Sus scrofa: one gene and its partners. The protein of the gene in region 1 interacts with the protein of each later gene in a pairwise test. Links are inferred from orthologs where the notes say so. Each region holds a gene or a part of one and is shown on either strand. Other genes may lie near its edges.

What was found.
Region 2: the proteins of TFIP11 (region 1) and TNNT1 interact in binary tests that used the Homo sapiens proteins (3 or more experiments, as listed by UniProt). The two-hybrid records come from large-scale screens. The link is inferred for Sus scrofa from reciprocal best matches to the Homo sapiens genes TFIP11 and TNNT1.
Region 3: the proteins of TFIP11 (region 1) and C6H1orf109 interact in binary tests that used the Homo sapiens proteins (3 or more experiments, as listed by UniProt). The two-hybrid records come from large-scale screens. The link is inferred for Sus scrofa from reciprocal best matches to the Homo sapiens genes TFIP11 and AIRIM.
Region 4: the proteins of TFIP11 (region 1) and CEP57 interact in binary tests that used the Homo sapiens proteins (3 or more experiments, as listed by UniProt). The two-hybrid records come from large-scale screens. The link is inferred for Sus scrofa from reciprocal best matches to the Homo sapiens genes TFIP11 and CEP57.
Region 5: the proteins of TFIP11 (region 1) and POLL interact in binary tests that used the Homo sapiens proteins (3 or more experiments, as listed by UniProt). The two-hybrid records come from large-scale screens. The link is inferred for Sus scrofa from reciprocal best matches to the Homo sapiens genes TFIP11 and POLL.
Region 6: the proteins of TFIP11 (region 1) and ZMAT2 interact in binary tests that used the Homo sapiens proteins (3 or more experiments, as listed by UniProt). The two-hybrid records come from large-scale screens. The link is inferred for Sus scrofa from reciprocal best matches to the Homo sapiens genes TFIP11 and ZMAT2.
Region 7: the proteins of TFIP11 (region 1) and TRAF3IP3 interact in binary tests that used the Homo sapiens proteins (3 or more experiments, as listed by UniProt). The two-hybrid records come from large-scale screens. The link is inferred for Sus scrofa from reciprocal best matches to the Homo sapiens genes TFIP11 and TRAF3IP3.

Annotation. Positions count from the first base shown.
Region 1 is NC_010456.5:44,102,709-44,106,208, forward strand, and holds part of TFIP11 (tuftelin-interacting protein 11), read right to left. Parts: intron 3,370-3,500; coding exon 3,213-3,369; intron 1,887-3,212; coding exon 1,759-1,886; intron 1,331-1,758; coding exon 1,178-1,330; intron 1-1,177. UniProt on the Homo sapiens protein: Involved in pre-mRNA splicing, specifically in spliceosome disassembly during late-stage splicing events. Intron turnover seems to proceed through reactions in two lariat-intron associated complexes termed Intron Large (IL) and Intron Small (IS).
Region 2 is NC_010448.4:59,360,811-59,364,999, forward strand, and holds the start of TNNT1 (troponin T, slow skeletal muscle), read right to left. Parts: upstream 2,801-4,189; 5' UTR 2,796-2,800; coding exon 2,764-2,795; intron 2,655-2,763; coding exon 2,641-2,654; intron 2,398-2,640; coding exon 2,371-2,397; coding exon of another isoform or gene 2,326-2,370; exon of another isoform or gene 2,121-2,325; coding exon 2,088-2,120; exon of another isoform or gene 1,531-2,087; coding exon of another isoform or gene 1,317-1,530; coding exon 1,295-1,316; intron 1-1,294. UniProt on the Homo sapiens protein: Troponin T is the tropomyosin-binding subunit of troponin, the thin filament regulatory complex which confers calcium-sensitivity to striated muscle actomyosin ATPase activity.
Region 3 is NC_010448.4:93,747,797-93,751,912, reverse strand, and holds the start of C6H1orf109 (uncharacterized protein C1orf109 homolog), read left to right. Parts: upstream 1-1,316; 5' UTR 1,317-1,616; intron 1,617-1,791; 5' UTR 1,792-1,794; coding exon 1,795-2,069; intron 2,070-4,116. Other genes in the region: CDCA8 (borealin), read right to left, coding at 528-656, 795-891. UniProt on the Homo sapiens protein: Part of the 55LCC heterohexameric ATPase complex which is chromatin-associated and promotes replisome proteostasis to maintain replication fork progression and genome stability.
Region 4 is NC_010451.4:27,819,570-27,823,069, forward strand, and holds part of CEP57 (centrosomal protein of 57 kDa), read left to right. Parts: intron 1-2,786; coding exon 2,787-2,942; intron 2,943-3,500. UniProt on the Homo sapiens protein: Centrosomal protein which may be required for microtubule attachment to centrosomes. May act by forming ring-like structures around microtubules. Mediates nuclear translocation and mitogenic activity of the internalized growth factor FGF2, but that of FGF1.
Region 5 is NC_010456.5:112,611,204-112,614,348, reverse strand, and holds part of POLL (DNA polymerase lambda), read left to right. Parts: coding exon 1-249; intron 250-1,265; coding exon 1,266-1,439; intron 1,440-1,978; coding exon 1,979-2,107; intron 2,108-3,145.
Region 6 is NC_010444.4:142,409,709-142,413,769, forward strand, and holds the start of ZMAT2 (zinc finger matrin-type protein 2), read left to right. Parts: upstream 1-1,261; 5' UTR 1,262-1,395; coding exon 1,396-1,413; intron 1,414-1,745; coding exon 1,746-1,839; intron 1,840-2,942; coding exon 2,943-3,066; intron 3,067-3,992; coding exon 3,993-4,061. UniProt on the Homo sapiens protein: Involved in pre-mRNA splicing as a component of the spliceosome.
Region 7 is NC_010451.4:133,207,709-133,211,208, reverse strand, and holds part of TRAF3IP3 (TRAF3-interacting JNK-activating modulator), read left to right. Parts: intron 1-594; 5' UTR 595-652; coding exon 653-994; intron 995-2,893; exon of another isoform or gene 2,894-3,050; intron 3,051-3,306; coding exon 3,307-3,406; intron 3,407-3,500. UniProt on the Homo sapiens protein: Adapter protein that plays essential roles in both innate and adaptive immunity. Plays a crucial role in the regulation of thymocyte development.

The DNA of each region.
Region 1 (3,500 bases):
TTTTTAATTTTAAAATAACATGAAACATACAAAACCCACAAAGGCACCCAAGGAGATGAGCTAATTTCAATGTCTGAAGAAGACTGAGGAGATGTGATCATGTCTATACAGTAACAGAAGTACCGCCACCACTTTAGAGTATATAAGTTAGCATCACCTGGGGAAAGATAACAAGCATGAGCCCTCGGGCCCAGCCAGATCTCTGAGGCAAAACCTCCAGCTGTATCTTAAATATCTGCATTTCCTACCAGGTCCCCAAATAACCTGATACACAACACCTTGACCTTTGAGAACCCCACTCCAGACTTTGGGTTCCATGACACACACAATCTCCTACGACAAACTACAAGAGATACCTGTCACCACAGTTCTCTGGCTACTTGGGACAGTGAGGGAGAACGCAGAGACTGCATGGACAGAACAGAGGCTAAAAGTCTAATGTTAAGTTCAAGGCTGAGGGCCCACTCCTGGTCACAGTGAGTGAGAGCAACCTTCCTATTCTCTAACCTGGTGACTGTACTTCTAGGAATCTATCATTTTAAAAAGTCTAAAACAGGAGTTCCCATCTTGGCGCAGCAGAAATGAATGTGACTAGGAACTATGAGGTTGCAGGTTCAATCCCTGGCCTCGCTCAATGGGTTAAGGGTCCAGCGTTGCTGTGAGCTGTGGTGTAGGTTGCAGACGCGGCTCGATCTGGTGTTGCTGTGGCTCTGGCGTAGGCCAGCTGTTACAGCTCCAATTAGATCCCTAGCCTGGGAACTTCCGTATGCCGTGGGTGCGGTCCTAAAAAGACAAAAGACCAAAACAAAAAACCCCACAAAGATAAGGCTAACCTGCTCTCAACAAAACCACAAAAGTTAAAGATGAAGCAACAGAATACCACGAACATCACTGAATTCACGGACAGCAAGCTGCAGAGCTGGAGTGCTGGATTTAGCACTGTAGTGTAGTGAAGAGCACCTGGCACAGGGTAGGAACAACAATGAGCCTAAATGGGAGTGCAGGAAATGGGCAGAGGCTACTGCCACGCAAGAAAGCAGGACACACAAGAAAGCCTGCCCAGAAGACCCACAGGAACCTTATGAGCAAGTGTTGGGTGACTGATGCTGCTGTGGTTAACTGTGTGTGTGTCTTGCAAGCCTCCATCCTGGACCAGGTGTCCATGGGCCCCCCATACCTTGACCTGAGAAATCTCTTTCTGGGGAGCAGAGAGCTTCTTGCTAATTCTGCCCTTGGCTTTTAACTCTTCCACTGTCTTGTAAGAGTATTTGGGCTTCTTCTTGCTTCCGCTGGGGTCTTTCCTCCACTGGCTCAGCTCCTTCTGAAATTCCTGAATCAAGAATATAACATAGTCCATCACAACAAGAAAGGGCCACTTTTTCCCGCAAGTGGGGACACTGAGGCTTTCAGAACACCATGCTAAGCACCGTCCCTCCATAACACTAAGACCATCCAAAGACACTGCTTGATGCCCACTCCCTGCCTTACAAATACTGAGGCTCAGACCCCTTCCCCACATAGCCAACCTACTTTCTTCTGAGTACTTCCTGGCACAACTGCTCTTTCTAACCACACCGTGGTTACTTTTTTACTGCTCCCTGTCCACCAGGCTCCACGCCTGGTCACGGCAGGACACCAGCCTTCAGCAGTGTCTGGCACCTGCTGTGCAAGCGACCTCTAAACACTGGCCGAGTGAACAAATGAGCAAACAACAGTCCCAAGAGGCAGAGACAGAATCCAGCCCATCTCCTGACTCACCTCCTCAGCTTCTTCCTCAGAGTCAACCACGGGGAAGTCCTGCAGGGACTGGGTGGTGCGCTCTGAGCCATACGCCCCCACCGCGCCTTTCCCCTTTCTCTGCTTGGCTTCAATTGGGTTAATGATACCTGGCAAGTTGCAGCAAAAGACAGACTTCAGATCACAGCAGTTCTTGTGAGTGAGCCACTCAGGGAGACCACACTCCTGGTCCTCACACACAGTAACATGCTACCCAGGAAGGAAACATGCTTCTGCCCTCACGACACCGTTTGGCTCCTGTGTGGCCAGAAGCTTCTGAGCGTGTGTGCTGCCACAAAACAGTGTGCTGATATTGTTTGTATCCTAAATACAGACTTCCATTTCTACTTGGACTTGTTGGTTTTTTTTTAGTGGACAGGAATATTTTATAACTGGGATCTCAGGCAAATTAGATTCTATACTCTGCTCATTTGGAAGCCCATTAATTCAGATATTATATTGATTCTGACTGAAGTAAGGTGAAGCTGCCATTTAATATGAAACTCCACCTATTTTACTTAGGAGTTCATATCTCCTATGAGCTATAACAAGTTTAAGCCTGGAAAATAAGTATTTTTCTTGTAAAAGTTTACAAACAGGACTGCATTTCAGTGAAGAACTGCCACACCCCAGACTTCCTACCAGGCCCCTTCCAGCTAGTACTGTTGAAATCCCAATTAGCACACTTCCCTCACTCCCATGCCATTGCCACTCAAGTCCATGGATTCTTCATACGGCTGATGTTTTCAACCCACAATCCATATCTAACTTTATAATACCTAGGGGCTGAATCTGAATTACAGAGAATACTACTGATGACATCCCACTGGTGAGTGTTGTAAAACAAAAGGCAACACCTGATGTTTTACTGATATTCCTGAAGGACAGGTAACTGGCTTTTTGCAAAACTAAAAAATAGTTACCTGTCCTGCCCCCGCATGAGCAAGAGTCCAAACTCATATGCCTTTAGGGTCCAGGAACATTAATATGAACAGGGAAAGTGGGCTGGAGTAAAAGGGGAGTGTGGAGGCAGCTTCCAGGAGAAGGCCTTGGGTGCTGACTGGGACAGCAAGGACTCAGCTAAACCAGTCACTGCCAGGCAACTCTAGAATGGAAGTGAAACTGTCTGCTTTTTAAATATTGGCAACCAGTTTGATTTTTTAGAAACACCGGGCAGGCTAGAAAGAAGCCTGTTCTCAGCCTGTCAGCCTGATTTAAACCCTAACCTCTCCCTCCTGCCGAAACAAGTATTTTATGTAACTTGAGTTCTGATAAAGCATGAAGCATAGAGCACAGCATCTGTGCTGGCAGAACAGGCTGCAGGGTCCCAGCCCTCCGAACAGTGAAAAAGCAGAAAAGAGGAGGCCACTGCCCTCCCTGCTCTTCCCACCTCTGCCTGACAGCAAGTGCAAGACTGTGGGGTGGGACTGCCACACCTTGTGCATTCTTCCCAAGGCCCCTTCCAGGGACATAGCCCATCTTCTGAAGCAGCTTCTGTCCAATTCCTTTTGTGTGTCTTTCCCAGCTGCCAAAATCCATGAACGACTTGGTTCCTCCTGCAAAACCTTTCTGACTGGGTTTAAAGTTACCACCCTGAAAAGGAGAAAAATCAAAGTTTAGTTAATAGAAAAAGAAGGAAAACGTAATAAAGCAAGCTTAGCTGATGGGAGCATGACCTGGCAGTCACAGAGCATTATGAAAAATATCTCACCAATCAAACCTAC
Region 2 (4,189 bases), on another chromosome or scaffold:
GCTGTCTCCTTGTCCCCTGGTGAGAGTTTTACCCTCTGATTCATTTGTAGGAAATGCTAGTGATTAATATCATTCATCTGTGACTTGGATTCTCCTCAATTACTGAGGATTCACCAACACTGGTCTCCAGCTCAGACTCTCTCCCAATCTCCAGACTCCAGGTAACGGATGGCTCCATGCCCCAGCTGAGCTCCCCAACCTGGAAATCTCTCCGTCTGTGGCCCCCTTTCCACCCCCTGCCCCCTGCCCAGGCTTAGGCCTTCTTCCCTGAAAACTCACCAAATTCTACAGTTCTCTGGCCATGCCACATGGCTTCACGCCCCCGGGCCTTTGCACATGCTGTGTGCTCAGCTTGCAATGGCCTTCGCCTGACATTCTCCGCACCTGAGGCCTTCCTGCCTCCAACGAGCTTTCCTGATGCTGCAGCCCAGCTGTGTCCTCACTCCCATCTGACTCTGCCTCCTCATCCCTCAAGCCGTGGTGAAACTCCACTGTCCACTGCATCTCATGCTCAGATTGCAACACCAATCTCTGGCCCCAAGGTCCCCACCTCCAGGTCTCCTCTCCCTCTCCCAAGGAGCTCTCACAGCCTGGCCTCCACCTGTCTGCAGAGCTTGGATCCTCAAAGACTGGCCGAGATCTGGCCGCTGGACCTTGCACCTTCTGCATTGCTTCCTCGACTACAATCTCTCCCACCTCCTTCAATTAGCAAACTCCCAGGACTCAGGGCAGCACCTCCCCCAGGAAGCCCTCCATGACTGCCACCGGGCATAGCTAGGGCCTCTTCTGTGCTACCATCTTTGTATCTGGGTCTGCTTCACCAGCAGGGCAGCCACACTCTGACTCATCAAATACCATGGGAAGTTCACCAGAAATGTTTGCTGAAGGACAGAATCACTGTCCTTTCGTAGGTGTCCCTCCCCCTCTCCTCTGTCTTTTTTTTTTTTTTTTTTTTTTTCTTTTTTGTCTTTTGCCTTTTCTAGGGCTGCTCCTGCGGCCTATGGAGGTTCCCAGGCTAGGGGTCCAATCGGAGCTGTAGCCACCGGCCTACACCACAGCCACAGCAACGCGGGGTCCGAGCCGTGTCTGCGACCTACACCACAGCTCACGGCAATGCCGGATCCTTAACCCACGGAGCAAGGCCAGGGATGGAACCTGCCACCTCATGGTTCCTAGTCGGATTCATTAACCACTGCGCCACGACGGGAACTCCTCCTCCCGTCTTTTTTTGCACCCTGTCTCTGAAGGCAGGGGCTAGATCTAAGAGACCCCACCCCCAGCCCTAGGATCTCACCTTGGCTTGGGGCGCTCCTCTTCTGTTGGGGGGGGGGATACAAAGACACAATTAGCAAGAGTTTGTGGGCGTGGGAGGACGCGACACACCCAAAGGTGGGCCCTCCTCGCCCCCCCAAGACTTGGTCCCCAGGCCCAGTTCCCTTGTCCTGCAGCCCTGGGGGAGGGGTATGGCGGGGGTAAAAGAGGAGAAGGGAAATCGGGGTGGCCGTAAAGGGAGGGAGGGGTCACACGCATCAGATATACATTCAGAACCGGTGTGGGGATTCCCCCCCTCCACTCGCTTCGCTGGGAAACCAGGCTTCCAAACCCCCCACCCTCCTTCTGCAGACCCAGAGCTCCTGCCCTCCTCCCCAAGCCCTCTGTTCACTCGGGGACCCTGGAGTTGTGTCCCCAGCCACCTCCCCCTTGGGGACACAGGAATCCAGACCCCCACTGCTACCCCCTTCTGCAACCCAGGCCCCAACCTTTGAATGTATATGGGGGAGAAAAATAACAGGCGAAGATGAGAGGGGAGGAGGGGTGCCTCTCCGCAAACATCCAACCCTTCTATAAGTATTCCTCCAGTCTGGGGAAGAAGGCTTGGGTGTCGGTCCCTTTAAGAAGGAAGGGAACGGGTTAAAGCCGCTGCGAGGCTATTTCCCTTCGTGGCCACCAGAGGGCGCGCGGGCTCTCCGGGGCTTAAAGGACCGGGTCCGGGGCGGGTTATGGGGGCGGGGAGGGAGTTCTCGTGGAGGTCAGGGCCCAGAGGACACCCCGCAATTGGTCTCAGGAAGCGAAGCAGCCGCGGTTACCTCGCTCTGCCACCGGCTCTGGCTCCTCGGGGGCTGGGGAGGGGGCAGGAGGAGAAGCGAGGGTTTGGGGAGCCAGGGGAGGGGAGCGGCCAGGCCCGGATGCAGGGGGGGAGAGAGGGGAGAGAGGGGAGAGGCTGTTAAAGGAACTGAGGCCGAGAACCCCGAAAGCCCCGCGCCCCGCCCGGCCTGCACCCCTGGACCAGCGGGCCCCCCACCCACCCGCCTGTCCCCCACCCCCCCAGACCTGCGTCCAGCTCCAGACCTGCGGAGTCCGGGGCCTCACCTTCCTCCTCCTCAGCAGCCTCCTCTTCTGGAAGGGGTCGGGGAGAGAGAAGAGGGGTTAGGGGCCCAGGGGGACCCGGGGTGGAAGGGCTTTCAGAGAGGGGACCCAGTGGGTGAGGGGGCAGAGACCCAGGTTCGGGCTCGAGTCTCAGCTGGGCGGGGCGGGGGGGGGGACCCGTCAGCCTCAGCGGCCGCCGGGCACGATGGGCTTTTCCCTCCCAGGAGGATGGGCGTCGGGCCGGTCGGGCGGGGTGGGCCGAAGTGCACTCACCTTCAGGCTGCTCCCTGAGGACCCGGGCGGGGAGAAAAGAGGGAGGGGGAGAGTTAGGCGCCTCGGAGGCGGAGGGGGTCTCCCCCGCTCCGAGCCCCCAGCCCTCCCGCCAGCATCACTCACTCCTCATATTCCTGCTCTTCGGCGTCAGACATCCTGGCGTGACCTAGAGAGGCAGAGAACGGGGGTCCAAACGAGGGACTCGGGATCCCCGACCTGGGGTCCCGACGCCCGGGTCTGAGGGACGAGGGGCTGGGGGCTGGATCCTGGGTCTGACGGGGGGGGGGGGGGCTGGGGCTGGACCCCTGGGTCTGGAGGAGGAGGGGCTGGGGCAGGACTCCAGGGTCTGAGGGAGGAGGGGCTGGGACCTGGACCCCTGGGTCCAAGGGAGGAGGAGCTGGGGGCTGGATCCTGGGTCTGAGGCCGGGGGCCTGGGGCTGGACCCCCGGGTCTGAGGGAGGAGGAGCTGGGGGCTGGACCCCTGGGTCTGAGGGAGAAGGGGCTGGGGCAGGACCCCTGGGTCTGAGGGAGAAGGGGCTGGGGCAGGACCCCTGGGTCTGAGGGAGAAGGGGCTGGGACAGGACCCCTGGGTCTGGGGGAGGAGGAGCTGGGGGCCCTCAACTCCCAAAGATTCCTAAACCGCGGATGAAGACAGGGCTTGGGAAGGTATGGCCCCACCAACCCCAAAGCCACAGGCCCCACCCCCTCACCACAGCTGCCCTCTTTTGTCTTATGACAAGTCCTTTGGAACCTGATCTGAGGAGGGATTAGGGGAAGGTATTTGGGGAAGACACAGTGGCCTGAAGACAATAGCTGCCCCACCCCCAAGGGCTATTTTGGGGGGATGTCGTGGAGGGTGACACAGAGGACATCTAAAAAGTATTCTAGGAGGAGGGGTTCTGGGAGAATTCATCATACCCACTCCCCTCTGCCACCCTTGTCCCCTCCCCTTTGGCTGGTTATCAGTCACCTTCACCCACAGCTGTGGAGGGGACAGGACACACAAGAGCAGCTTCTGTCCCCAGACCTCATCCTGACCCCTAAATACTAAGACTCCCCCAAATCTGAGGTCCCCAAATCTTAATACCCACAGATCCCAATTTAGGAATTCTGAAGATGGCTAAGTCCTCATATCTCCGGATTCTGACACCCCAACTGTTGATACTCCAGATTATGGGCCTGGCCACCCTAAAACCTTGACCCCCTCAGTCTTGAATCCTTAAATTTGGGAACCTTAAGCTTATGAGACCCCAAAACCTGGATGCCCAGACTCAGGGGCCCGATTCCTGATACCCCAAAATATGACTCCACAAATTCTAATACCTCCAATCATAAGATTTCAGATCCTGAGACCTCAATTCCTAAACCTCCAGATTCTGAGGCACTGCCCGCACCCTGGTCCTGACACCCAGACTGTCTGCCAGCCGAGCCCAGAGGTTCCCAATTTCTTTTCTTACTCCTTCTTGAATTATTATTTAATTTTATTGGAATAGAGTTGATTTATGAAGATTCCCAATTTCTGACATACCCTCAGAGCACCGAGGTCTGA
Region 3 (4,116 bases), on another chromosome or scaffold:
CAGTGGGAACTCCCTGATCTGCCCATTTTAAAACTGGCAATTTCCATAAGCAGAAGGACCTGCTTGGGGTTATCCTTCCACCTGAGCTCTGGTAACAGACCAAGTTATTCATTTGTTTGTTTTTAAATGGTTGGATCAAAAAAAAAAAATCTTATAATGTGAATCCACATTTTAGTATGTCCATAAATACATGTTTATTGGAATACAGCTGTGCCCATTCATTACAGCTGTTTCGGAACTATCACAGCAGAGATGAGTAGTTTTCAATGAGAACCATTTGGCCCATAAAGCCTAAAATATTTACTACCCGATTCTGTAGAGAAAATGTTTGTTTGCCTACCTGCACAAGTAGATGAGGTTAAAAGCAAAGGAGAAAAATAAAGCAAGGCAGTGAGACAGAGTGGGGATGGGTAAGGTTGCAGTTTCCTACAGGGATCTTGGACGACTTCAGGATGAAGATGAAGGCTGTCATTGGAACCACAGAAGGGCTCCAGGTCGAGGCCTGGGGAAACTCTAGCAGCTCTTACCGAAGTACTCGAGCCAGTTCATCTCGCGCAGTGCCTTGGGGAGTCGCAGGATCTCGATGTTGTACAGGTTATCCATCTCCTTGAGGAGGTTCTGCCTGTCTGACTGAATTTGCTTGGATCGTATTTGCACTGCAAGAGGGCAGAGCGGACAAGACGTGGGTCACCAGTGGGCAAACGGGGCCTGGAATCCGTGCGGCCTGCGCCCCAACCCGCCAGCACCCCGCGATTGTCCCAGATGCCAGCGACCTCCCGGGCTCCGCCCCTTACCTTCACGGTCGAAGTCTTTAAGAAAGGAAGCGAGCTTTCGGCTCCGTAGCGAGTTGTTCTTGGCCACCCGACTGCCGCCTTTCCTAGCCGGAGCCATGGCACTTCGCTGGAGACTGCGGGGAGAGAGGGGCCAAGCCAAAGGGTGTCAGCGGCGGAGAAAGGGAGGGAAAGGGGGCCGCGAAGGAGCAGGAGAGGGCGGAGGACACCCCAGGGGGGTTGGAAGGGGACCCCTGCCCTTCCCGGCATGAGCATAAACGATTCGCGAGGCACTCACCTGTGGGCCCCGGTAATAGGGGCTGAGAAAACCCTGGCTGCTTCAGCTGAGAGGGAGCGGCTCCGGGACTAACCGGACGTGCGACCGCCGCCACCAAATTCAAACTGCCACAAGCTGACCAATGAGAAGCCGCCGTCTTAGAGGGTCCCACAACAGCCAATCGCAGGGACGCTCTGCGATCGGCCAGTCAATTCACACGCAGGACTACAGCACCCAGAAGTCATTGCAGTTTGACGGCATATTTTCGCGACTCTGTAGCCACGTTGGGGCATGCGCAAAGAGAGTCCCTAAGGCTCTTGAGGGCCTAGAGAGGTCCTCAGACTTTAACTGCCTTAGCTTTAACTTTTGCCGCTGGTTTAGGGAAGGCGAGCCGTAACTTCATGGAGAGGAGACAAGGTTCGGGTTCAGGAAACTCGAGACGGCCCGGGAAACCCACAGTCTGAAACAGAAAACTACCCGAAGCCGGATGAGCCTCCTGCGAGGAATAGTCAAGAAATCTTTCCCGAGGTGGGAAATAAGGGTCCTGCCTTCCGAGAGCCTGTGTAAAGGTAAGACAACCCCTCACTCTAGAAACTCCCGTCGGGAGGGATAGACAGCTACCTGAGGAAACCCTGGGTTAGCTGGACCTCACTTGAGAACGGAAATAACTCCTACCGACTTGGTACTTCCCCTACCGACTTGGGACTCTAGGGCTGTGTCTTTTTTTTTTTTTTCCTCCCACAGAAGATGACTCAAGTTGGGCCTTTGCTTGCCGTGCAGGAGGCCCTAAGGAAGTGCTTTCTCGTGGTGGAGGAGCAGCAAGGCCTGTGGCAGAGCGTTCTTAAGGACTGCCCGCCGCTCCTGGCCTCCCTCAGTAACCTGGCAGAGCAGCTGCAGGCCGCACAAAATCTGCGATTTGAAGATGTGCCGGCACTTCGGGCCTTCCCAGACTTACAGGAGCGGCTGAGACGCAAGCAGCTGGCGGCTGGTGACATTGTCCTGGACAAGCTAGAGGAGAGGCTGTAAGAGGTTTAGTGGCTCTGTTCTTGGTGGAAAGATTTTAAAGCTAGGTGTTTAGAAAACTAGGATCAGTTAGAAGGATGTTTTTCTCCTTACTTGAGAGCTTTGTATTTGGGGATGTGTCAACCTTACGTGCTTTTCATCTGTTGCAATGGGACCTCTGTCAAAAAGCCACTTTCTGACATTTCTTTTGTCAGGCTAGGGGTGGCAATGGTGGACTTCGTAAAAGTTACCAAAGCAGAACAGAAAAACAGTGGAGAAAGCTTATTAGCCCTCCTCTGTAAGTTTTTCTTTGGTAAAAAGCAGCAAAGAGCTGTACTATAAACTTAGTGGGTGCCAGAGCTGAGGGTTTTACGTCCATTATCCGTAAAATCTTTTCTGCACCTCTATGACTTAACCTCACTTAATCTCATTTTTCCGGTGAGGCAGCTGAGGCCCAAGCAGATTGCCTGTGGTCCTGCAATTAGTAAATGGTAAAGCTGGGATTCTCATCCAAGTGTATCTGACACCAAGGCCGGAGCTCTTAACCACTACTTTGTTCTGCTGTACATTGGTGTGTCTGTGCCAGGAGTGGTACCCCTCTAAGCTCTCGTTATGCCTAGTGTTAGACTCTCTGGCTTCGAGTTATAGGTAATTGAGGATAGAGGAGAGACAGGGAACTTATGGCCTTTCCTTGACCAGGACAAAAGAAGGTTCTAGTGTATAGAGTCTGTGCTGTTAACTAATAGGAGACTGTCAAAGATGAGTGCCTTCTTGGTATTCATTTGTTTAAAAAAAATTTTATTAACAGCCTATAGGAGAGTTCCTGTTGTGACTCAGTGGATTAAGGACCCAGTGTTGTCTCTGTGAGGATGTGAGTTCAATCCCTGGCCTCACTCGGGGGGTTAAGGATCCAGCATTGCTGTAAGATGCAGTGTCGGTCACAGATGCAGCTGGTGTTGCCATGGCTTTGGCATAGGCCTCAGCTGCAGCTTTGATTTGACCTCCGGCCCAGGAACTTCCACATGCCACAGGTGCGGCTGTAAAGAGAGAGAAAAAAAAAAAAAAAAAGTAAAGAAAAGAAACCTATGGGGAGTTCCCGTCGTGGCGCAGTGGTTAATGAATCCGACTAGGAACCATGGGGTTGCGGGTTCAGTCCCTGCCCTTGCTCAGTGGGTTAATGATCCGGCGTTGCCGTGAGCTGTGGTATAGGTTGCAGACGGCTCGGATCCGGCGTTGCTGTGGCTCTGGCGTAGGCTGGTGGCTACGGCTCCGATTAGACCCCTAGCCTGGGAATCTCCATATGCCGCGGAAGTGGCCCAAGAAATAGAAAAAAAAAAAAAAAAAGAAAGAAACCTATGGGATGCCAAGCACAGGGTGCTGGGTCTACAATAAACCAGACTTAAGTTCTTTGGTTGATTAAAAGAGATAGACAGTCAATTAAGTTTTGTCATGGTACATTCTAATATAGTGACCTTTTATTTCAATTGATTACATATTTGTATGTGGGTATGGACTGTTATTTTAAATCTTTTTTTTTTTTTTTTTTTTTTTGACCGCACCCACGGCATGAAAAAGTTCCTGGGCCAGGGATCAAACTCAAGCCATAGCAGTAACCAGAGCCACAGCAGAGACATCACTGAACCACCAGGAAACCCCTATTTTAAGTGTTTTTAAGTCGTGAGTCACAGTCAAACATTTTTGAAAGCTGCAGTTCTAGGCTAGGGAATGCCTTGCCCTTTGGGAAGTTGTAGCTTTCTTCTTGGTGGCTGGGCCCCTTGGAGTCACCAGTGGAATAATAACAAAATTTACTATAAGCCAGGCACTTCCCTAAGCACTTACATTACTGCATTTAATCTTCGCAGCAGTCTTTTTCATTCATTCATAGGACAAGTGTTTGTCGTTCTCTGTGCCAGTCCGGATATTCTAGGCGCTTATGATGAATAGTGAACAAAAGAGACTGTATTCATGATTGAGAATAAGTAGCTTTTCTAAGATCCCCAGTTGTCTGTGTGCATCAAGAGCCCAGACTTGGCCCATTTGCTGGGTTTGGGGTGAGAGGTGACATTA
Region 4 (3,500 bases), on another chromosome or scaffold:
TTCCTGAGCTATAAAATGGAGATACTTTCTCACTTGTCAGTTACCTGTCAGGATTGTCATGAGGATCAACCCAGCTGATGAAAGTGTAGATTGTAAAGTCTTTTGGGAGTTTGAGTTTATGGATTGTTGTTTTTAATACTCATATGAGAGGAGAGAGCATAAACGTTCTGCTTAAAGTATCCTTTGTCCTACCATAGTTCTCAAGTACCATGATTGGATGGCATATAGCATTGAAGGCAAGAATTCTCTTGAACTCTTCCATAATCTCAGATGACTGCTACTTTTAGAAAGAGATGTTTACAAAGTTAGCTCTTGGTTGGCATCTGTGAACTTGAGTGATATTTTCCTATACTGATATAGAACTTTAACAGTAAGTGATAAAAGAGTGGTTCACTGCACTTAAAACTGTTTATACAAACAATGTTGAACACCTGCCTTCCTTCTCGGAGTCAGGAATATGACCAGCCTCCAATAAAAACCTTGACCACTGAGTCTCGTGAGCTTCGTTGGTAGATGCCATTGACAGACCTGTCACTGTTAGGTTGCTGGAGGAATTAAGCACATCCTCCTGTATGACTCCACCTGGAAAGGAATTGTGGAAGTGCCTGATCTTTTACAGTTTTTCCTCTCTCTGATTTTGCTCTGTATCCCTTGCTGTAATAGATAGTAGCCATAAGTATAACTCTATGTCGAGGTTGCCAGTTTTTCTAGCAAATCACTGAGTCCAGGGCTGGTCTTGGTGACCCCTGGCTCTTATGATGACAGTATTCGGAACCTTCCCAAAATTCAAGTTCTGAGATAACCTGCCTGGAACCAACCTTGCTGGCAGACCTTTCTAAGGATAGCAGTCTCAAGTCAATATTTACATTTTCTTCACTGCCTTCCTATGACATTTGTGCAATTTGTTATTTGCTAGGAAGCCAAATCGAGCAGGATTTTGATGAAATATGTGTGACAAGTTGAAGGGCAAATCTTGAACTGTTAAAAAATTTTACAAGAGCCAGGAGGCAGTGAATTTAACAAAAGTGGTTTGTTCTCATTTTGTTTTGGTTTGGTTTTTGGCAGATTATTTATGCACAGTTCTTCTGTTAATATTTGTGCAGTATTTGGTAATACTAATAAAATTTGTTTTGAAAATCATAAAGTGACAGCATTCCTCTGTGGTGCAGTGGGTTAAAGATCTAGCATTGCCCCAGTTGTGGCTTGGAGTCGATCCCTGGCCCAGGAACTTCCATGTGCTATGGGTGAAGCCAAAAAAGAAAAAAAGTAAATTAATTAGGAAAAGAAAGTCATAAGTGAATTTGCTCATGGTTTATCTTCATTATATGTTAAATGTTTCCTAACCATTGTTCTTTGAATAGTAGTTGTTATAAATGATAGGATTCTAGTAGGTTGTATGGAGGCATAAGGTTCTCTGTGAAAATGGTATTTAAAGTTAAGCTATGTGATTATTCATGGTATTTTGCAAGAGCCTTGGCAGTATTATGTATTTTAAGAATTGAAAACACCCTGTTTTCCAGCCGCCTCCAAAACTTGATGTCATTTTGCCCAAAAGTTTAAAAAAATGCCAACTCTTAGTTGTTGTTGCTTGTGACCACCCTTTCACAGTAGAGTAGCATTAAGTACCACTTTGAGATTTTACTACCCCTTCCAAGGTCTTTGCTGTCTTAGTTTCCACAGCCATAGTGTGTTGTTTTGTTTTTCAATTTGCTTTCTTAAGTTTCCACAGCCATAGTGTGTTGTTTTGTTTTTCAATTTGTTTTCTTAAGTCAACTGGAAAATTGCGTGAATTTTAAGATGGCAGTACAATCTCCAGTTTTTAATAAGATTCAGATACAGTACAGTTATTTTGATGACCTTTGTTTATTCCAGGAGGCCATTTACTGTATTGTAAATATTCATTGTTCCTTTGTACTTTTGGACATAGATTATTGTGCTTTATAGTCATAGTTAGCCAAAGGTAAGAGTTGAGAACCTAGTTTCCTGTGGCTATTTGAATAAGAATGGATGTCTGAGAGTTTTGAGCAGCTAGCAGCCCTATCTTCCATCTGAGCTTTTCCCACTCAACCTCTTTCTACCAATAAGAAGTCACCTATAACAAACAAAACTCCCCAGTTAGCATCCCCTGCACTCGAAATTGTCATGTGGAACATAATCCCAAATTGAAGAGAATGACAAATGACACACTGGTGTATGTGTGGAAATAGAGTTTTATGTTTAGATGTTTGATAAACTTCAATGTTTCTAATGGCTTCCCTCTTCTTTTCCCCAACTGAATGTAAAATCTTTGAGACAGTGTTCTGCCTTATTTTCTTTCCGTTTATCACAGAGTTTTGGACTTTGATAGATTTACAGAAAGTATATAGATTTTCAGAAAGTATTTAGTTGATTGGGGATAGATTAATTCAGTTGCTTTGTACCAGTTTTTGATACTATAAAAAATATTTTCTTTTCCAAATTTATATCTTAAAGTACATATTTTTTAAAGAAACTATATTAAGTCCTTTGTGAGTACTATATTTAAGTATCTGTGCAACATGTGTTCAAGTTGTGTGAATATTATTTCCTATTTATGGTGTTTGGCATATGGTTGTATTTAGACTTATAACACTTTAAAAGCTTTATTATTTTTAAGTAGTGATTGATTCTGTTGTGTATGGTCATTGGATTCTATTTTTTCTGTTGTCACTATCAGTGGAACATAGGACAGTCCAATTCTTAGTCATGAACATGCTATTTGTGGTTTAAATTTTTGAAAAGATAATTTCTGTATTTTTATTTTTCAGAACATCTTAGCAGAACCATCAAATCTAGTGGAAGTATGGTTCGCCATTCCTCATCTCCATATGTAGTATATCCACCCGATAAGCCTTTCCTTAACAGTGATCTACGACGCTCCCCAAATAAGCCTACATTTGCCTATCCGGAAAGCAACAGCAGAGGTAATAGAGCCTAACAAAATAGATGTGGGTTTTGCATGTGTTTGCTCACTGATAAAACCTCTTAATTGTGTCTTCCATTTAAAATTAGAGGAGAGGAGTTCCAGTCGTGGCTCAGTGGTTAACAAATCCGACTAGGAATCATGGGGTTGCCGGTTCGATCCCTGGCCTTGCTTAGTGGGTTAAGGATCCGGCATTGTCGTGAGCTGTGGTGTAGGTCGCAGATGCGGCTCGGATCCTGCGTTGCTGTGGCTGTGGTGTAGGCCGGCAGCTACAGCTCCAATTCAACCCCTAGCCTGGGAACCTCCATATGCTGCAGGAGCGGCCCAAGAAATGGCAACAAAAAAAATAAAAATAAAAAAAGACGTAAAATTAGAGGAGAATATATTTCCCCCTTCCTGTTTTTAACCTCTTCAAAACATGCCTTCTTTTGTTGTTTATTAAACGTCATCATCTACCAGATCCTCGAAACTAAATTACTTTTAAGTCATTTGGGACTGCTCTGTCATTTCCAGCATCGTTCAGGAACCAAGACTTGTGTTTTTCTTCTGAAATATCCCA
Region 5 (3,145 bases), about 69 Mb from region 1:
ATCAGCGGCCGCTACCCCACCCCCCTTGAGGAAGATGGAGAGCCTAGCCCAGCCCCCAAGGGCCTGGATAAGTGGGTCTGTGCACAGCCTTCAAGTCAGAAGGCGACCAACCACAACCCCCACATCACAGAGAAGCTGGAAGTGCTGGCCAAAGCCTACAGTGTTCAGGGAGACAAGTGGAGGGCCCTGGGCTATGCTAAAGCCATCAATGCCCTCAAGAGCTTCCACAAGCCTGTCACCTCCTACCAGGTACCTGGGGGCCAGGGAAGGTTATGTGGGGCGGTGGGGAGGGGTCCTTCTCTTTACTGGTCAGAGATTGGTGGAGACACCAGTCACAAGTAGGGATCAGGTAGAGTGGTTAAGATTTTATGATTCTGAGACTTGCACAAAGGAAAAAAGTAGGAATTTTAATGAAAGCAGATTGGCAAAATCTTGGTAATTATAGAAGCTGGGTGATGGGAACTTGGGGTCCATTATACTAGTCTCTCTACTTTGGAATTTTTTTCCATAATAAAAAGTTTTTTAAAAGTTTAGACTCTGGAGGCCAACACACCAGAGTTTGAATTCTGGTTCCCATCAATCACTAACTATGTGACTTTAGACAAGTTACTCTTTTTTTTTTTGCCTTTTTTTTGCCATTTTCTTGGGCCACTCCCATGGCATTTGGAGGTTCCCAGGCTAGGGGTTGAATTGGAGCTGTAGCCTCTGGCCAATTCAGAGCCGCGTTTGCGGCCTACACCACAGCTCACGGCAATGCCAGAATCTCAACCCACTGAGCAAGGGCAGGGATTGAATGTGCAACCTCATGGTTCCTAGTCGGATTCGTTAACCACTGAGCCATGACGGGAACTCCTAGACAAGTTACTTAAACCCTCTGAGCATCAGTTTTCTCAGTAAAAAGGGACTAAGAATAGTAGAAACACCTGTTCCCATGAGGACTCCATGAGATGACCCCTGTAGTGCAGGTTCTGATACAGGGTAAAGTGTCAGTAAATGTCCTCTCCACTGTTGCCATGGTGATGGTGACTCGGTCCCTCATTACCGCCTTTCCTCTGCTGCCTCTGCTAACCTCTGTTCCTTTGGGAACCAGCAGACAAGTCCAGCCCACTCCGCCCAAACTTTTTATCTTCACCTGCACCCAAGCTTTACACAGCTACCTGTTACCAGCCATCCAGGACACCTGCTAAAGCAGTCAGCTTCCCCCACTGGCTCTACCCGCCCATCTGCTCACTCTTCCTTCCTGCCTCTGCCTCCTCTTCCTCTAGGAGGCCTGCGCTATACCCGGGATTGGAAAGCGGATGGCTGAGAAGATCCTAGAGATTCTGGAGAGTGGGCACCTGAGGAAGCTCGACCACATCAGCGAAAGCGTGCCTGTCTTACAGCTCTTCTCCAACATCTGGGGAGCTGGAACCAAGACTGCCCAGCTGTGGTACCATCAGGTCAAATGCTGTCCCAGCCCCCACTTCAGTTTCGCTATATCTTATCTTACCCTTATGCTCTGATGAGAATGAACCCGGACTGTAGGGAAACCACTTTTCAAAGGGGCCAGGGCTCATGCTGATCCCTCTCTTGGCTCCAAGAACCGCCCTGTTGCTTGTTATCCTTGAGGCTTCATCTGTAGTGTAGCCAGAGACAAGAAGTGTGTTTCTCCTGAGGAGACCAGGCCTTAGGGCTGAGTATCCAGATCAGTGGTTCCCAAACCCAGCCATGCCCAGAATCACCCCCAGCCCACTGGAATCATGAGCCAGTTTTAGGATTGTGGCCTGGCTGGATTGGGGTGTGTCTTCTCTGCCGCCTGCCTTTCCCAAGTCCCACTGATGACAGACCCAGCTCCTGGGTTGGTCCTGCTTCAGGCCTTTCTTAGAGTCTGGGGGTGATAGAAGCCTCGTGTGTGTGTGTGCACACGCGCGCGCGCACACACTGCCTCCTCATTGGTCCTGGATCCTCATAGCCTTCCCATCTGGCTTCCTTTTTTCAGGGTTTCCGGAGCCTAGAAGATATCCGAAACCAAGCCTCTCTGACTACCCAGCAGGCCATTGGTCTGAAGCATTACCATGACTTCCTGGACCGCATGCCCAGGGAGGAGGCTTCAGAGATCGAGCAGACAGTAAGCAGATGTCCCAGGCAGTGAGCACAGCCAGGCCCTACTCTAAGGTCAGGGCCTGGCCTGAAACCAAGAACTCTTGATCCCTCAACAGGGCAGCCCAGCGGGCAGAGGAAGCTGTGGGCCACCGGCCACCGGCGCTTGGGAGGAGTGGGGAAAGAGCAAGTTCAGAGGGGTGGGGGGGCTTTAGTAGGGAAGGGTGCAACACCGGCTGTCTGTGCCAGGGTTCTCAATGTTAGGCAGAGTTAGCACTGGCTTAGGCACTAGAATGGTGTTAGGACTAGGTTAACGTTAGGGCTAGATTAAAGATGGATTATCGTCACAACTCCTTGAGGGGGAGTTCCTGTCGTGGCTCAGTGGTTAATGAACCCAACGAGGAACCATGAGGATGCGGGTTCGATCCCTGACCTTGCTCAGTGGGTTAAGGAACCGGCGTTGCCATGAGCTGTGGTATAGGTTGCAGATGCAGTTTGGACCCTGTGTTGCTATGGCAATGGTGTAGGCCAGCAGCTATAGCTCCAATTTGATCCCTAGCCTGGGAACCTCCATGTGCCATGGGTGCAGCCCTAGAAAGACAAAAAAAAAAAACAAAAAACAACAAAAAACCAACTCCTTGAGGGTATTGGGATTTGAACTGGGCTAGGTTAGGGTGGATCAGGGCAGAGGTTCCTAACATTCTTTTGATTCACAAAGTTCTTTGAGAACCTAAGGAAAGCCATGGACCCTTACTCTCCACACTTTTTTAAAATGTACAAAATTTTACATCTCTCTCCACATACATGCCCTCTGTACCCCACCCGAGGCTGGCTCAGGGGTGGGATTAGTGCTGATGTGGAAGCACAGTGCCCATAGGATTAGGTTTAGATTTAGAGAAAAGCTGGGTCAGGAGTTGAGTTCAGGTTAGGCCTGAATTAAGAGTATGGTTTTCTTAGTGTTGGATGCTTTCAGTTAAGGTTTGTGGTTGTCCTAGAAATCAGGTTTGGCCAAGATTAGGGTTTGCTTTAGAGTTGGGTTAGGGATTAATTTCATATAAAACCTCGT
Region 6 (4,061 bases), on another chromosome or scaffold:
ATGCTCTAACTGCAGAGGCAGATGGCAGACTTGCAGTGCCGTTGAACGCTGCCAACATGTGCTAATAAGATGGTTGCTGTGAACAAGTCTCTGGGAAAGTCACCTCAGGTTGAGACGATTCTGAACCACTGAGATCAGAAGTCATGTCTTAGCCTTCCACTCTTCGCTTCTGAACCAAATTCTGGGCAGTTTGACCACTGTGTGGTCTTGGCCTGTCCAGGGAGTTTTTGGTAAACAGCAAGAAGGGGCAATGACTGCTCTCTGTTTTGTTTGAGGACAGAGATGCTAGCCCAAGGGCCCAGCAGTGCCCATATTAATATGACGTCTCTCTAGCCTACCCAGTGTTAATCAGGGTGAGGCCGTCTGTTTAATAATCTTGAATGTTGAATTTAATAGGCGACCTGACAAGATGGAGATCTGATCTTTTGAGACTTTGGAGACCATTACCTATGCCTGCTCTAACTAGTCCATGTCCTGCCGTGGAGGTGGCTGTTCTAGAAGTGGTTGTATAATATATTAAATAAAATATTAAATCTAGAAGCTTGGGTAATTTGTTATCGAGGGATTTGTTTGCATAGGCCATAGAAAACGCTTGAGTGCACACTGGAGGATGCAGTGAGCTAAGAGGAACGTCCCTGGGGTGATGTTTTATTTTTGGTGAAGGGAACAGCCATGCTTCCTCCTCCCCGCAGCTGTGAGATACAGTCACCTCACTAAGTCAGTGTGTAGTGTGACATTTGCTAGAGTTCTTCACCCTAGAGTGTTGCTGATGACTGGCCTTCCCAGGTCCGATCGTGTTGATTAAATTGTGCCCTGTAGATTGAATAATTGTGATGTTTCTCAGTTGAAGGAAAAATGAGTTAACCAAGGGGTGATAGCATTGCTTCAAGATAAAGAGACAAAATGCAAACAGCGCTTTCAGTTTGTGCATTAGGAAGACTACAGCCTGTGCAAACTCTTAGGAGCTCTGGGGCCCTATCTTCAGTGCACACAGGTAAAGAGGCATCTAGAGCCCCTGATAACAGAACTTCAGCCTTAAGAAGGTTTGGAAACTCTTGGCAGTGCACGCAGGTTGGTTAGACTAGACCGGAGGGCGCTGATCTGAACTTCATTTTCCTCTTACGTAAAATGGAAGGGTTGAATCTGTGCTTGTTTTTAAAGCCAGGGTGAAAAACCCTCGCAGGCGCCCTTACTTCCGCGTTGCTTCATACTCCCCTTGCGCATGCGCCATTTCCTTGGAGCAGGGGCGGGGCCGACGATCTTGTTTTAGAAATCCTCCAGTCCTTAGCTCGTTTAGAACACGAGACTCTAAGCTTATTGGAGGGCGGGCTTGCCTTACGGCGCAAGGCCGCTTTTTACGGCATTTTCCGGCTTTCCATTCACTTCGCTGTGAAGATGGCGTCGGGTAGCGGGGTAGGTGTTGTGTGTGAGGAGGCTTGGGATGGGGGGTGCGGGGCGGCTTTTCGGCGCTGAATACCCCGCACCCGCCTGGCTTCCCGACACCTCCTGGCGATCTAACCGCCTTGGTTTGAGAGCTCCCCCGTAAGGCCCTGGCGCAGGGTCATCGGAAGCGGGAAGGTCTCGGGTTGGGGTCCTGAGGCAACCTCAGCCTCCCGGTGCTGTCCGGAGAGGCTTCGCTCTTCCCAGGTCCCGGGGCCGCCTTAGCGGCTGGGGAGCGGTTTCTTCTGTTTGTCCAGGGGTCGGACACGATTAGCGACGAATCTTCAGCCCCTTTTCCCCCACAGGCAAAAAACTTGGACTTTCGCCGAAAGTGGGACAAAGATGAATATGAGAAGCTTGCGGAGAAGAGGCTCACAGAAGAGAGAGAAAAGAAGGATGGTGGGTGCCTGTTCCATCAAGTGCTAAGTGTACTGCAGATGCGAAGCAATGGTTAGCGAGTCGGTGGGGGGTTGAAACGCGCTGCCCCCTTTCCTGTGTAACCTCCGGCAGAATAGTGCCTCCCTGGCTCCTCAGGTAGAAAAGTAAGATAGGCGTGAGGAGATGAACTGAAATGGTTTGGAGGTGCTTTCCGGCTCTGCGGTTCCCTGCTTCCTTGCCCTTCCTTTGCTTGGCTCATTTAGTGCTTTCCTCAAGTACAGGGAAGACAGTGGAATCCTCAGTAGTGATCCTCAGAAGAAGTTAAGTGGAGTGTTTTTGCTGCTGTGTATTGCTGCTATTGAACGTGGGATTCTTAACACCGGATTCTTAACCTGGGGAACGTGGGATTGATTGTTTCATCTAGTGCTTACGGCTGTTCTCTGTGCCTTACATTTTGTCAGGGAGTTGGTCTTATTTTCTTTTCTGTTTTCAGACTTGTACTTTCTTTTGCTTTACTTGCATACTCCAGCACTTTTGGTTTTTATGTAACTCATGCAATAGTACTTGGCATATAGCAGATATTTCCTAGATAATAGTTCTTCTTTAAAAAACTTCCCCAGCTCTCAGAAGATTGCCGTGTTACACATGGGGTATCTGTCTGAAAACACTAAATGAGTGGTCTTGCTTTTCTTTTCTTTTTTGTCTTTTTAGCAGCATTCGCAGCATATGAAGGTTCCCAGTCTAGGGGTCGAGTCCGAGCCATAGCTGCTGGCCTACACCACAGCTCACAGCAACACCGGATTCTTAACCCACTGAGGCCAGGGATCAAACCTACGTCCTCATGGATACTAGTCAGATTCATTTCCGCTGAGCCAGGATGGGAACGCCATAGACTTGTTGGCTTTAAAGTGGAGAAAAGATGTAGGGAGTTAAGGATTGCTTATCATTTTTGCTGTGTTGAAATTCTCTGTAGCTACTGCTAGAAGGGACTCTTTTGTCCCTTGCTTCAGGTTTCAAAAAAGAAATGAAGGTAGACTTCTGGATTTTGCATTTTATGCATTTCTTTTCCTTTCTGGCTAAGGATCTCTGATAATGAAGCGACTTCCTTCCCCATTATATTCCAGGAAAGCCCGTGCAGCCAGTCAAGCGAGAGCTTCTCCGGCATAGAGATTACAAGGTGGACCTGGAATCCAAGCTCGGGAAGACAATTGTCATTACCAAGACTACCCCACAGTCTGAGATGGGAGGGTAAGTGGCTTTTCATTTATCTCTGCATCCAGGAGTAAGTCACATAAAACTAGGTTGGTTTCAGGAAGTGTTGAGCAGGATACTTGGCCCCAGAATAATAACCTTGTTTTCTGTCATTCCATGCTTTGTTCTCCAAGGCCTCAAGTTAACATAATAGTGTCTCTACGAGGTGTCACTCTGTAGGCTTTGTTATATTAGTACTATAACTACTTCTTAATATCTTAAAGGGAATTGTTTGTTCTCCTGCCAGAGGAAGACATGAAGGAAAGGTCTACTGAGGAGATGTCTAGGGGAGGAATTAGGTGAAGCTAGAATGAAGCCCAGGAGCTGTTGATGGTGGATAAAGGGGGTTAAGGTTGTGGACTAACTAGCTGCAAAGGTTGTAGTTGTTACGGATTTCCTGGTTGTGCACCTTGCTATTAGACCAAGACTATAAGCTTTAGAAAGAAGGCTCCCACAGGAACTCTCCTTCCTTTGGCCCACCACTACTTCTCTGTCCAGTTAGGTTTTCCAGCAGGAGGATCACACAGATAGCAATGTGTGACACTTCTCTGAGCTGCTTAGTAGACCCGCTGTTGTCATTCCTCTTTGTGTTAGTTATCTGCTGCTATAGAAATGAATACATTAACCCAAGACTTAGCAGCGTAAAACAGCAGGTAGCTCACAATATCTGGGGGTAAGGAATCTGGGACTTACTTAGGTGGTTCTGGCTCAGGCTTTCTCACAAAGTTGCCCTCAAAGGTCTGCATTCATCTGAGGTATAAGTGGGTCTAGAGGGTCTGCTTCCTAGCTCTGTCATGCTGTGGTGTGGAGGCCTCTTTGTTCTAAAAAGAACTTTGATTTCAAAATACATGTTTCTTGGTCAAAAGCGACAAAATCCTTACAACAATCCACCAACCCGAGTGCTGTTTCTTTCTGTTTTCTAGGTATTACTGCAATGTCTGTGACTGTGTAGTGAAAGACTCTATCAACTTCCTGGATCACATTAATGGAAA
Region 7 (3,500 bases), on another chromosome or scaffold:
TTACACCACGCTCAGGACCACGCCCAGGACCAGGCTACCTGCTAAGGGCTAAGCAGAGGCCAGTGGGTGCAGGTCATAGGACCAGTTACACCTTGCAGGGTGTGGTTATTCCTCTAGGCCTCGAGAAAAGTCACCCGCCTATTTCAGTACAGGTGAGCCAAGAGAGCAGTAAAAATGCTGGCTTTCCTTTCAGACGGGGGAACAGGGAGCCTAGTGAACTGATTCTCTAGAAGTCCTTGTAAAAGGAACACACCCCAATCGGCTATCCGAGAGGCTATAAGCTTTTAGTGATTTTTATCCATGATTTTTCATGTTCCCCTAACTAAAAGAAGCGTGAGAAGTTTGGTCAAGGAAGACATGGCAGCCAGAGGGCTCTTGCCACTTTGTAGGAGAAACACAGCCAGAGAAGAGCAGAAATCAGTCCAGAGTCAGGACCCAGGAGTCATGAGTCCCAGTGTGACGTCATCTCCTCCTCAGTTGTCAGCCCCCACATACGGGACGCTGTGCTATTTCTGCCCCCTCGTCCAGGGAGATGGTCATTTTTCTGCCCATCTCCTGACCCCTCCCCTTTGCCTCCCTCTTGGCCCTTGGCAGACCCGCGCAGCTATTCCAGGAACGGGAAGCCAACACAACAGGTGCTCAGGAGGTCATCATGCTCAGCCCAGACCCCAGGCCTGCCCCTGGCTTGGCCCGGTGGGCTGAGAGCTACGAGGCCAAGTGCGAGCGCCGGCAGGAGACCCGTGAGAGCCGCCGCCGCCGCCCCAACGTGACCACTTGCCGCCAGGTGGGGAAGGCGCTGAGGACCCAGCAGAGGGAGCAGTTCCAGAAAGCACGACAGCAGCAGTTTTTCAGACTGAGGCACCTGGAGGTGGAGGAGAAAGGCCAGGCAGAGCGCTCGCAGACCAGGCAGCCAGGTTCCTCCAGGGCAGGACAGGCACCTGACCTCAAGGAGCCCTGGCCTTGGGCCAACAGGATCTCTTCCCCTGGACAGCAGGTGGGCCGTGTCGATGGACATACTGCTCTGGAGGGGGTAGGGTGGGCTACTGAGGCAGTGGGTGGGCTCCAGGTCACTAAAAAGTGATTTAAATTGAGTCCCTTCTTCCTCAGTCATAAGTAAGTCTCCCTTAGGCACTTATTCAGATATTTCTGTGGTTGGGTTTTTTTGGTTGAATGTTTGTTTGTTTTTGTTTTGTTTTAAACTTGCTTTTTTAGGAGAAGAAAAAAAAATTTTTTTTTTTTTTTTTTGGTCATTTTGCCATTTTTTAGGCCACTTCCGCGGCATATGGAGGTACCTAGGCTAGGGGTCAAATTGGAGCTGCAGCCGCCGGCCTACACCACAGCCGCAGCAACCAGGGATCCGAGCCATGTCTGTGACCTACACCACAGCTCACGGCAATGCCGGATCCTTAACCCACTGAGCAAGGCCAGGGATCGAACCCGCAACCTCATGGTTCCTAGTCGGATTCGTTTACTACTGAACCGTGACGGGAACTCCAGGAGAAGAAAAATTTTTTAAACAACCCCATTGCTAATTCCTAGTATCAGTTCAAGTCTAGTCTGTCTCAACAAATCTAGTGCATTCAATCAGCCATTGTTCCACAGGTCTTACTGTGGGCCAGGTACACAGGCCCGTCTTCTTGCTGCTCCCTGGAAACACATGCACACAACCACACTCACACACAATCACAGATACAACCACCCCCACACACGAACACACACACACACAACCACCCCCCCCACACACACACACACTCCTCCTCTCCATTTCTCTGTAAGGCTGTTGCACCACCACCGTCTCGCTTTGGCGTGGGCCATATATCAATTCTACTAAATTCATTCATTTAAAGCCACATCTGGTCCAGAAAGCCCCAGCTTCCTATGCTTCTCCAGGCCACCTCTGCTCTCTGCGGTCCTTATGAGGTTATAAATCTTCTAAGATTGTGTGACTCTTAGAGGGCCCAACAGTCTGGCCTGAAGAGGAGCCGTGTTGGCAAAAATCAGGGTATGCTGAAATGAGCTCAGCCAGCAAACCATCGGTGTCCTCCTCTCCATGCTGGGAGCACACAGACGGCAGGGCGGGGTCCCAGATCGCTGGAGGTGCCTCGTATTGCGCTGCACCCAGAGCAGGTGCCCGTCAGGCCCTCTTAACCAGTGCCTCTGCTCTCCAAAACTGTAAAATAAAACCAACTGTGCACTTTCTAAGGCAGGAAGGTTTCAGAATGCTTTGTTGAAAAAATAATTTTAGGGAGAAAAACAACAGAAATCACAGTTACCTAAAGAACTCCTCCTGGGCCGATCAGGCATTTAAGGTTTCTTTTTTTCTTTTTTCTCACAGCCTCACAGAGACAACACCAAGTCCTTAACTCACTGAGTCACAATGGGAACTGCTGTCGTTTAAGGTTTCTTGAGATTGAGTTAGTCTTCAAAGTTAGTTGCCACAGGCATTTCTTACTTAGCCTTTGTCGTGGCGCGGCGGAAACGAATCCAACTAGGAACCATGAGGTTTCGGGTCAATCCCTGGCCTCGATCAGTGGGTTAAGGATCCAGCGTTGCCGTGAGCTGTGGTGTAAGTCGCAGATGTGGCTCGGATCGGTGTTGCTGTGGCTGTGGTGTCGGCCGGCAGCTGTAGCTCTGATTAGACCCCTAGCCTGGGGACCTCCATATGCTGCGGGTGCGGCCCTAAAAAGACAAAACAAGACAAAACAAACAAACAAAAAATATACATATGTATGTATGTTACAAACAGAATTGTCGAGTTCATAGGAAGAAAATGACCAAAGAGCAGAGTAAAACCGTGCCAGCTCCTCCCACACCCTCCCCCGGCTGCTCCCTTTCCCTGCTCTTCACACAAAAGCTCGGCACTGTTCCAGCCCTTTCTGAGAGGAGGGAGCCATCTCTGGAGGGCGGAGGGCACTTTGGAGGTCATCTCCTCCCAGCTCCGCACTGGACAGGAGACCGAGACCCAGAAAAGGCAGGCCTGATCCCGGGCCCTCCGGCCCCCTCTGACCAGCTCTTGCCACGGGCCACGCCAGCGGCTGAGAGCGGCTAAGGTAGAGGGGGGTCGAGAGAGAGAGAGAGAGAGAGAGAGAGAGAGAGAGAGAGAGAGCGGCCAACCCAGCCCCCCGCTGCCCATTCCCACCCTCCAGGACAGGGGAGGCAGGGCGGGGACCAGCTCAGAGCTGCGAGGGGGTCCTTTGGTGTTCTGGACCCAGCGCTTGGTCGCTGGGTCAGCTTTCTGCAGTCACATGCAGAATCCTGTCCCGGAGGCCCTGCCTAGGCTTTCAGCCTCCCCCACTTGCTTCCCAGGTGTCCGGGACCAGCGCCGAGGTCTTTCCAGCCCAGCGGCATCCTCCCTCGGGCGCCCGGAGAGACTCTGCCGTCCAGAAGCTGCCCAAACAGCACCGCGGTAAGAGCAGCGCCCTGTCCCTCGCTGGGGCCTGCAGAGATCTGGCCTCAGAGTCCCAGCTCGCTGGCAGCGGAGAGTCCCTGCCCTCAGCACT